3 linked regions of the Macaca mulatta genome follow. The protein of the gene in region 1 interacts with the protein of each later gene in a biochemical or structural test. Links are inferred from orthologs where the notes say so. Each region holds a gene or a part of one and is shown in the gene's direction. Other genes may lie near its edges.

Region 1 (3,565 bases):
AGTTCATACTTCTGTTAGATCATCTTTTTAGAACACTACTACTGGGATTATATCACTTCCCACATCCAATTTCTTTTCTGCCCTTCTTTGCTCTGCTTCCTTACAATTTCTACTTCAGAGCCATCTGTAAAACACTACACTTTATGCTTTGATTTGCAATGTAAAGAAACATTATCTGCTAACATACCAAATTTAACTTGATTTATCAATATGACTTCTAACAAGACTGAGTAGAGTTTAAGATCTTAGTCAAGATTATAAAAGAGCAAGTTATGCATCTTTGGTTGATGGTAGAGTGAGATGGAGAAAGAAGAAAAAAAATATTTAAAACAGTTAAGGATATTTTTGTTCTGTAGTGAAATAAAATACATTGATATTTGTTGACTGTTTATTCCTTTTAACGTGCAGTTTATCTTTATAGTTAATTACACTCGGCCAGTGATCATACTGGGACCCATGAAAGACCGGATCAATGACGACTTGATCTCAGAATTTCCCGACAAATTTGGATCCTGTGTCCCTCGTGAGTAAACCAGACAAAAACATTTCATTGTTACTCTTAACAATGCCTGTCACTGTGTGTGGGAAAAATAGGTAGAACCATTTTTTAACGGTTTGTACCTATTTTATCAGTTACTCTTCCATCCTCCATATTGTTGTCCTTTCTCAGATTTAAATTAATCTGTTGAACTTTACAAAACAATGATACAAGTAGAAAATGGATTTATTGTGGGTTTTTTTTTTAATATTAAACACTTCCCCAAGTTTTTTTCTGTTAAAGATACAACTAGACCAAAACGAGATTATGAGGTAGACGGAAGAGATTATCATTTTGTGACTTCAAGAGAGCAGATGGAAAAAGATATCCAGGAACATAAATTCATTGAAGCTGGCCAGTATAACAATCATCTATATGGAACAAGTGTTCAGTCTGTGCGAGAAGTAGCAGAAAAGGTAAGCATCAGACTAGTCCCAGAATATAGCTGCTAATCAGATATGCCTTTGACAGTATGAAAGAGTGGTAGGATAGATACAGCATTAATTAGTTTTATTAACGTAATGAATTTGCTTACCTACATGATTAATTTTTGGTGGCTCAGGAAAGTGCATACAAGATAAAACAGGTAAATAAGGTAGACAAAGAAAGTGAAAATAGGAATGGTAACATGAATGTAAGAGGAGAAGTTATTTTAAGGTCATTTGCTAGAGATAGACCTTTGTTTAACCCTAACCCTCCAGCATATATTATAAGGAGATAAGGGCCAGGTATGGCAGCACACCCTTATAGTCCTAGCTACTAAGAAGGCTGAGTTGAGAGGATCACTTAAGCCTGGGAATTTGAGGCTGCAGCGAGCTATGATCATGCCACTGAACTCCAGCCTGGGCAACAGAACAAGACCCTGGCTCTTAAAAAAAAAAAGAAAAGAAAAGAAAAAATCAATAAATCTAACCACTTAAAATTTTTAAAAACTTTTTTTATGGCCAAAGAACTTTTCCAAAAACTATTAGAAAACACCATTAACAATGTCAAAAGACAACTGACAGAAAAAATTTGCAAGAAGAAAAGGGCTAATATTCCCAATATATAAAGAACTCATAAAAACAGGGAATAGAGACCAGAAACCCAATAGGGAAAAAAAAATGGACAAAAGATGAGAATACATAGTTCACACAAAAATAAGATATAAAAATGGCCTTTGTACATAGGATATGATGTCCAACCATTTCAAATGAATAACTACATTGAAGAGGGGAGAAGGGAGAAGTCTTAATCCCAGAGATTCTTTTAACACAAGCTGAAGACAGAAAGATCTGTAAACAAAATAAAATTCTAATCAGTAGGTTTGTTGGGTGGAGTGTATGGTCTTACAGTTCTGAAACTAATATATATTCTAGGGTTGAGCAAATAAACTAATGTAATGACAGTAGTGGGAGTGAGGTTTGACTGTCAGAAAAAGGGAGAGGATAAAATGAACTCTGATAATTGGATTGGAGATATTAGATAATTAGAGCTATGAATATGAACCCATGAATTGTAATAGAGTAGATCTAGAAAGATGTGTATTTACATATACACACACGTATGCTTATTTGCTCTATCCACTAAGAAGACCTAAAAATAACCCTGAATAAGCCATGAGAATATCTGGTGCCCAGGTCTTGGCTTCTAAATATAATTCGTTAATTGAAAGATTCAGGACTCCTTAGAGAAATGGCTGATTCTGGGGCCAGGACTGGAAAAGTGCAAGATGAGCCTGTAACATTTTTGCTGCCAGAAAAACAAGGGAGCAGTCCACGAGTGATGAGGGTGTGTAAAAAGGCAAGGAACCAAGCTGTGGGGTCCCCCACTGGCCAAGTCTGAGATAATTTGAATATCAAGATAAATGATAATCACAGATTATAATATATAGAGTAAAATTAAAATCCTAGACTCCATAATGAAATAAACACAGATGGCCCCCAACTTAGAATGGTTCAGCTTTACAGAGGCGCAAAAGTGATGCATATTCAGTAGCAGCCATACTTCAAGTACCCATACGGCCTTTCTGTTTTTCACTTGTAGTACAGGACTCAATGAATTACATGAAAAATGCAACACTTAATTATAAAACAGGTATGTGGGATGATTTTGTCTGACTGTAGAGTAAGTGTTCTGAGCACATTTAAGGTAATCTAGGCTAAGCTATGATGTTCAGTAGGGTAGGTATATTAAACGCATTTTCAATTTATAGTATTTTCAACTTGGGTTTATTGGGACGTAACTCCCATCATAAGTCAAGGAGCATCTGTATATGAGTAAATAAGTGGATAGAAGGGAACACTTTGGACTGTCTACTAATCAAGGTAGAAGAAATGATTAGAAAATCTTTTGAAAACTGCATGGTAATAATTGTTTCAGGCAAAAACCATCAGTGTATTCTAAAATTAGTGAACATTTGATGAAAAATGGGATATCTATATAGTCTCAAAGTGTCCTCCACCAAAATACTTATCAGTTACAAAGGCAAAAGTAATAATTTTACAGTGGAGAAACCTAGCAGATAAAACCTTAAACAAGTGATCAAAATTAGCATCACTACCAGTGGGACAAATAGATATAATATCACCTCCCAGATATGATGGACTGAGAAGGACACACATTATATCTGTGGTATTCCTGCCAAAAATGTGTAACCTGCCATCCGAGAGTGAGGAAACACACAAACCCAGGTTGAGGCATATTCTATGACGTAATATTTTATACTCTTCAAAAACATCAAGATCAAGAAAGACCAAGACTGAGGAATTGTGTCAGATTGATGGAGACTAAGGAGGCTTTACAGCTAACCACAGTGTGTGATCCTATGATCCTGAATTGGATCCTGGACCAGGAAATTTTTTTTTTCTTTTCCAATAAGGAACATTAGATGGCCACTTGGAATCATATTGTGATTATATAAGAGATGCCATTGTTTTTAAGAAATATGAGGTAAAGGAGCATTATGCAGTTTTTTCTCAAACTATTATGTACATACATAGAAAGAGCTAAAGCAAACATAGAATATTAATATTTCAGTATCAAGTT
Region 2 (3,183 bases), on another chromosome or scaffold:
AATAACAGCGCTGGAAATGAAAGTAAGCGGACTAGCATTTACGATCTGTCCTTACACAGTTGTCTCTGTCTGAGAGAACACAGCATTGGACTGACATGAAATGAGTTCCTGCCTTATCTCAATCCGCTAAAGACCTGGTCCTTTCGCACAATGGTGCTTACTTCCTAGCCTGTCATTACACATGACAGCCCCATCTCAGGAGAATTTCAGGACTCTTATTGCTAGGCAACAGAATTGCTCTCTATCCCCCAGAGCAAACCTGCGTCTTCAAAGTCTTCAAGCCAGAATTACCTGCACTAATAGAGACTTAGCAGGCATTTCTGCATAGTGGTTGCTTGAAGTGTGAGAAGTGATGAAGCAAGCCCAAACAGTATCCAGAAACTGGGATCCATTTCAGATGATTATAAGCAATAGGGGCAGTATTCACCATCGTAGGAGGTTTTGTCCACTAGTTCCCTCTGTTTTCAGGATACACTCAATCAAGCCTACTTCAAAATCCATATCACTATTATATTTGCAGGTGGGAATCTGACTTTCGTCCTCTAGCATTTCCTCAGCCTATCTGGTCTGCTAGTTATATCATTTAAACAAAATAGTCTGTCTTCCGATTTCAACCTTGCCATCAGGGGCTCTCATATTCTCCCGTAGTGCACATGCAACTCAGTGAATATCAATACTGCGTCCACGTGAAGATTTCTAAACATGTCCTCTTTCCAAAAATTTTACGACAAACCTTGGGATCAGACAGTCTTTCATCTGCTTAACAGGGATCGTAGCAGGTGGGGCAGGCCAAAGAAGAGAATAAGAGAAGGGAGAGGTAGACCTGAAAAATAGAATATTCTAGATCCCTGGCCAAAAATAAGGGAAAGGGGACCTGACCTGACATTTTGGTTGAACAACTGTCACAGACAACTCTCCTATGTTTAACGACTTTATGCTTTTAAATAAAAGGTTTACAAAGCATGCTTAGGATACAAAGAAATGTAAAACCTTATAATTTAATGTGAAGTATACTTATCTTTACCTGATTATGTGTTTTTGTTAGGATGTATTGTCTTAGACAGTAGAATTCTTTAAGAGTGGCTTATTTTGTAATGCACAATCTCTCTTTTCTTGCAGGACATGTTCTCTGGATGTCAGCTGAGTTATTAAAGTAACTCTGCATGTCAGCAGACAGACCTTGGTAGAACCCTGAGGCTCCCAGAGACACCCATCTCTCCTCATTTTTTGTGTGTGTGTGTCTTCACCGAACATTCAAAACTGTTTCTCCAAAGCGTTTTGCAAAAACTCAGACTGTTTTCCAAAGCAGAGGCACTGGAGTCCCCAGCAGAAGCGATGGGCAGTGTGCGAACCAACCGCTACAGCATTGTCTCTTCAGAAGAAGACGGTATGAAGTTGGCCACCATGGCAGTTGCAAATGGCTTTGGGAACGGGAAGAGTAAAGTCCACACCCGACAACAGTGCAGGAGCCGCTTTGTGAAGAAAGATGGTCACTGTAATGTTCAGTTCATCAATGTGGGTGAGAAGGGGCAACGGTACCTCGCAGACATCTTCACCACGTGTGTGGACATTCGCTGGCGGTGGATGCTGGTTATCTTCTGCCTGGCTTTCGTCCTGTCATGGCTGTTTTTTGGCTGTGTGTTTTGGTTGATAGCTCTGCTCCATGGGGACCTGGATGCATCCAAAGAGGGCAAAGCTTGTGTGTCCGAAGTCAACAGCTTCACGGCTGCCTTCCTCTTCTCCATTGAGACCCAGACAACCATAGGCTATGGTTTCAGGTGTGTCACGGATGAATGCCCAATTGCTGTTTTCATGGTGGTGTTCCAGTCAATCGTGGGCTGCATCATTGATGCTTTCATCATTGGTGCAGTCATGGCCAAGATGGCAAAGCCAAAGAAGAGAAACGAGACTCTCGTCTTCAGTCACAATGCTGTGATTGCCATGAGAGATGGCAAGCTGTGTTTGATGTGGCGAGTGGGCAATCTTCGGAAAAGCCACTTGGTGGAAGCTCATGTCCGAGCACAGCTCCTCAAATCCAGAATCACTTCTGAAGGGGAGTATATCCCTCTGGATCAAATAGACATCAATGTTGGGTTTGACAGTGGAATCGATCGTATATTTCTGGTGTCCCCAATCACTATAGTCCATGAAATAGACGAAGACAGTCCTTTATATGATTTGAGTAAACAGGACATTGACAATGCAGACTTTGAAATCGTGGTCATACTGGAAGGCATGGTGGAAGCCACTGCCATGACGACACAGTGCCGTAGCTCTTATCTAGCAAATGAAATCCTGTGGGGCCACCGCTATGAGCCTGTGCTCTTTGAAGAGAAGCACTACTACAAAGTGGACTATTCCAGGTTCCACAAAACTTACGAAGTCCCCAACACTCCCCTTTGCAGTGCAAGAGACTTAGCAGAAAAGAAATACATCCTCTCAAATGCGAATTCATTTTGCTATGAAAATGAAGTTGCCCTCACAAGCAAAGAGGAAGATGACAGTGAAAACGGAGTTCCAGAAAGCACTAGTACGGACACGCCCCCTGACATAGACCTTCACAACCAGGCAAGTGTACCTCTAGAGCCCAGGCCCTTACGGCGAGAGTCGGAGATATGACTGACTGATTCCTCCTCTGGAATAGTTACTTTACAACACGGTCTGTTGGTCAGAGGCCCAAAACAGTTATACAGATGACGGTACTGGTCAAGATGGGTCAAGCAAGCGGCCACAAGGGACTGAGGCAAGCACAATGGTTTCAAAGAAAGACTGTAAGCTCCATGATTAGCATAAAGCACTAACCATGCCTCCATTGTGACCCAATGGCACATAGATGTTGTAGAATAAGTTATGGGTTTTTATGTTTTGTTTTGTGTTTTTCCAAAACTTGAACTTGCAGGCAAGCCTTGGTTGGGTATTTGATTTATCCAGAATGCTTCTCTTTAGGGAACAAGGATGTTTTTAATGGCATAACAAAGGCAAGACTCTGCCTTAATTTTTGAAAAGCTGCTAACTACATGAACACAAATGTGTATTTTTGTTGCAGTGTAGTTTTCCTTCTGTGTAATTTTAAAGTCAGTGTTGAACTTGATTGAAAGCTCATGATGCGCTTCAAAGTGGCAAGTATTTGGCTATCAACTGCCAAAACAAGAGCCTGATTTTTTGAGGCCAGTAATTTGTTTG
Region 3 (4,148 bases), on another chromosome or scaffold:
GTGTTGGGTTAGAATGATAGGATCAAAGAGGCCTTTTCCCAACCCTCTGTTTAAAAGGTTGGGAAGTAGTGGCCAGTCACCTTCTTCACAGCATAGCTCATAGCTATAACCTGTGAGATATATGTCAACACGCCTTCCACAAGCATATAAACATGAGTGTGTTTGCTGAGGTAGGTGTGGGAATCTGTCAGTCAATGAAGATATGTTGTTGTGTGAACTAGCTGATGGTGCATGTTTGTGCTTGAAAGCCATAAAGTTCTATGCAAAATCTATGGGTGGCACTGTTGCACAATGCTAGTGGGTGTGTGGGTATGGGGGTGTGATTAACAGTTTACAGGCTGTGTATAAGTGTGCAGGGATGTCTGAGTGTGTCCAAATTAAAACAGAAATGTGTGCCGGAGTATGATACAAGTACAGGAAAGTACTTGGGCTTTGGAGTCCGTCTGACTTGGCCTTGAATTGTTGGCTCTGTCATGAACCAGATGTATAACCTTGGGCCAGACACTCAATCTTCAATTTCCTCAGCTAGGAAATGAGGCTAATAACAAGTACCTTTCAAAATTGCCATAAGGACTAGAAATGATATCGTATAGACAAAGCTTTTGGTGTCATAGCCTACGCATAGCAGGACTCAAAAGTAGGCAGCTATTTTCATGCACTGTCAGTATACCTCTGGTGGGTACAGGGGCAAGAGGGAACAAAATGTGACCTGTATATAAGGTGTTGGGGAGGAGGTGTGTGTGTGTGTGTGTGTGTGTGTGTGTGTGTGTGTGTTTACAAAACAATTTATTCTCCTTCTCCAAGGAACCCCCTATTCAGACAGGAGCAGGAAGGTGGGAGGGGACATACAAGTGTCCACAGACACCTTGGGTTTCTGGGTCCTGGATCTAAGTGAGTAAGGGGTTGAGAGGCCCATGGGAGCTGCAGGAAGCCAACCGCCTGCCGAAGCTTCCTTTTTTTTCCCCTCCGCCCAGCAACCGTTGAATACCGCCACCCACATCCACTCCCCACCTCCACCCTCACCCCTCCTCCACCCCACTCAGCTTTCTATTCAACAAGTGAGAGCAAGGGTGGAGAAGAAAGCCGACAGGGGAGAGGATTCCTTCCCTTTCTTTCCCCATTCCCCCTTAAGACGAACCAGGAAGCAACCGCAGGAATCGGGCCACCTTAACAGTAGAGTAATGGTTTGGCCTCATGCCAAGTCCCACCTCTGTTCCAGCTCCTGCTCCTCCCCTCTCTCTTCCCGCACTGCTTGGGGAGAGCTGGTGAGCAGGAGTCTGGCCCGAGTTAGCTAGAGCTGTTGCCATGACAAGCATTTTCTTAAGAAAGCTCTGCTGTTGAGATTGTCCAACGCTGGGGGCTGGGAGGGGGGCACGAACTTCCTGGGCAACCATCCCTCTGAAGAGAGCAAGATCAGAGACACCCGTCCAGCTCTCCTGCACCCTTTTTCTTTCAGGAACCTGAGAGGTCCTTCCCATTGGAAGGGCAGGGGGAGGAGACCCAGCCCACTCCCCGGCCTTAGCCGGAAAGGCAAGAGAGCAAAGCCAGCGTCTCCAGCTTGGTTGCCACACTGGGGAGACTGGTGGGTGGTCACCCCACCCTACCCCCATCCATGGAAACCCGGAGGGAGAGTCCCACTTGGAGAAACCTGGATCTTTGCTAGAAAGAGAGGTAGGCTTGCAGAGAATGAATTGACTTGTGATTTGCAAACTTTGTTTCTTTCTTTTCTCTCAGTGGCTTCTAAAACTCCCCGATTTTCCTCTTTCTAGCATATTTCATGCGACTGGGTTTGGAGGATTTTTAAAAATATGTGTGTGTGCACAGATTTGTCAAATACTGTTTTCTGAGAAACTGTATAGTCAAATAAGTGATTTATCTCTCTTTTTTTAGTTCTTGTCATTCCTGTGCTATGGGGTAGGGGAATGGAGGGACTCTCTTTTTGACACCAAAATTGAACTCTTGGAAAAAACATTTATCTCCCCTCCCTCAACCCATTCCATTCCTGCCCTCCCCTTCCCCCTTGGCTTGGGAATGAGACGCAGGATGGAAAACTGTTGCAAAAATATTTTCCGTGTCTGTTCCCTTTCTCAAAAGCCCAAAAGAGATGGGAAAAAAAAAAAAAGGAACTAAAGAAATCTTCAGCAGGAAAGGGGGGCTGCAGCGGGAACTAGGAGAGGGGCACTTTGGGGCCATGGGGTAGAGGTGGGCTGGGAGAAGTTGGGAGGAGTAGGGGAAGGAGAGTGCACAAATTAAATTTCTTTAGCTTTGCAGAGAAACCTAAGCAGTTTCTCTGTGTTGCTTGCAAAACATCCTCAGACTTTCACATCTATAATTAGCTGTGGAAAAAGCTGGGAGTTCCCTCGTACCGCTGTTGTTTGAGAGTGTGTGAGCGTCCAGAACCAACTGTATGAGTGTCTCCGAGGGCACCGCCCCACACATCTCTGGTCCCAAAGGGGAGGAAGGAGAAGGGTGAATTGAAAAGTTTCCGATTTCAAGGCTGGAGACTGTGGGGCTGGTGAGTGTTTGGCAGACGGGGTGGGCCACAGGCATCTGTGGAAGGGTCCCTGAGCATCTTGGGTCATTTCCTTGGTTTGCTGAAGAGCTAGGAATTAAGAATGGGATTGTCCTTCCTGCTCTCCTTTCTCTCTTTCTCTTACGTACTTGGTTCGCTCTTGGTAGAGGGGGCTGCTGGCATCCTTCCCCGAGTCAAGTCTGGCCTCATACACTCCTCCACCTCCCTGAGGGTACCCGCCGCTCTTCTCCAACTGGGTGTGGAGGGTGCAGGAGTGGCCAGCCACATCTTGGGAGGGGAGTGGGCACTCTGCTGGCCAGAGGCACCTCCCTCCTGGGCATTCCTGCCGGACTTACAATAACTTGCAGACATGATGCCGGCGCCTGCTGGCCGGGCAGGGGGAATGTCAGATGAAGCAATAGGCCGGCATTCAACTGAGGCCCCTGTGGGGAGGGGAAAGGAGTTGGGGAGGGAAGGGAAACAAAATCCCATTCTGTAGTGCTCCCTCCTCTGGGTGAGGAGTCTGGCAGGGAGTCTAGAGACCCTCGCCCTGCTCCTTAAGCCCCTCCCCAAGCTGCCCTTTCTCCAGGGCTTCTCATTGGAGGCCCTCCTGTGCCCCCTTCACTCTGGGCCCTCTACCTGGAGGAAGGAGACCAAGCTTATTCCAGGCTGGGCCAGGCCCAGGAAAGGAGCCTGGGGGTGAGGAGGGGCTGGGCCAGGAGCGTTTAGGAAGAAGGGGATGGAAAGAGGCCTCCTAGCCCATGAGCTGAGTTACCCTCCTTGGCTGAGGGTGGTGGCTTGGGGAGCAGACTCCGGGAGGGGCAGGAAGGATGGTGGCAGCTTGGTAAGCCGTGTTCTGGAAGGTGGGCCCTAAACCCTGAAGCAGACAGATCTGTGGGAATCAGGCTGGGGGAGAGGAAACACCTGCCTTCAGCCCCAGGGCTTGGAGGAGTGGTAAAGGCTACAGCTGAGAAACTGGGGGAGAAGGAAGCAAAACACTTAGAGGAGAGCTCATCTCGGGGCTGAGGAAGCAACAGGAACCGATTTTCATTTTGAGGTGTTAATTGATCTGACTGCACCCCATTGGCTAGACTCTTCCCTACCTGTATTCTGGTCGGTAAGGGAATGAGGCCTTCCCCAGTGGGCAGGGTCCCCAAGACAGAATCAATGCCCGTGTTCTGGAGGGAGGGGATCCATTTCTTTGCTCCTCCTCGGGAGTCCCATCCTCCCTGCCACCATCTTGCTGAGGTGCAACCCCGAAAATCACGCCGCTTCCGCCGCGGCCTCCCGTCGTGGGGGCCCAGAGTGTCACTATTCCTGCAGCCGGCCTTCCTATTTTCAGTAATCTGATTAGGGGTCGATGTTGACGGGCTCAGGGACTGTTTCTCCGTGAGGTCGTTATTTAGCGCGCACCGGGTTGCCTGCTCCCGCGGCTTTGAGCCTGGGGTCGCTGCCAAAGCGGGGAATCGGCTCCCGCAGTCTCAGCCCTTCCCCCGGGGCTCGGGGCGGGATCGACTGCGCAACCCCGCGGCCCCTCTGCTTTCCGCGGCCTCTGCGACCCCGCCCCGCCAGCCTCTCCGCTGCTGGGCTCCACCCTCCCGGGCTCTGCCGTAGTCTGAGAACTCCGTGGAGAATG

Evidence for each region.
Region 2: the proteins of DLG1 (region 1) and KCNJ2 form a complex in vitro, tested with the Homo sapiens proteins (2 studies listed by BioGRID and IntAct, with this or other methods). The link is inferred for Macaca mulatta from reciprocal best matches to the Homo sapiens genes DLG1 and KCNJ2.
Region 3: the proteins of DLG1 (region 1) and ATP2B4 form a complex in vitro, tested with the Homo sapiens proteins (2 studies listed by BioGRID and IntAct, with this or other methods). The link is inferred for Macaca mulatta from reciprocal best matches to the Homo sapiens genes DLG1 and ATP2B4.

Annotation. Positions count from the first base shown.
Region 1 is NC_133407.1:2,616,650-2,620,214, reverse strand, and holds part of DLG1 (disks large homolog 1), read left to right. Parts: intron 1-421; coding exon 422-523; intron 524-781; coding exon 782-954; intron 955-3,565. UniProt on the Homo sapiens protein: Essential multidomain scaffolding protein required for normal development. Recruits channels, receptors and signaling molecules to discrete plasma membrane domains in polarized cells.
Region 2 is NC_133421.1:79,799,640-79,802,822, forward strand, and holds KCNJ2 (inward rectifier potassium channel 2), read left to right. Parts: upstream 1-1,335; coding exon 1,336-2,619; downstream 2,620-3,183.
Region 3 is NC_133406.1:61,366,431-61,370,578, forward strand, and holds the start of ATP2B4 (plasma membrane calcium-transporting ATPase 4), read left to right. Parts: upstream 1-1,284; 5' UTR 1,285-1,671; intron 1,672-2,330; exon of another isoform or gene 2,331-2,515; intron 2,516-4,148. UniProt on the Homo sapiens protein: Calcium/calmodulin-regulated and magnesium-dependent enzyme that catalyzes the hydrolysis of ATP coupled with the transport of calcium out of the cell. By regulating sperm cell calcium homeostasis, may play a role in sperm motility.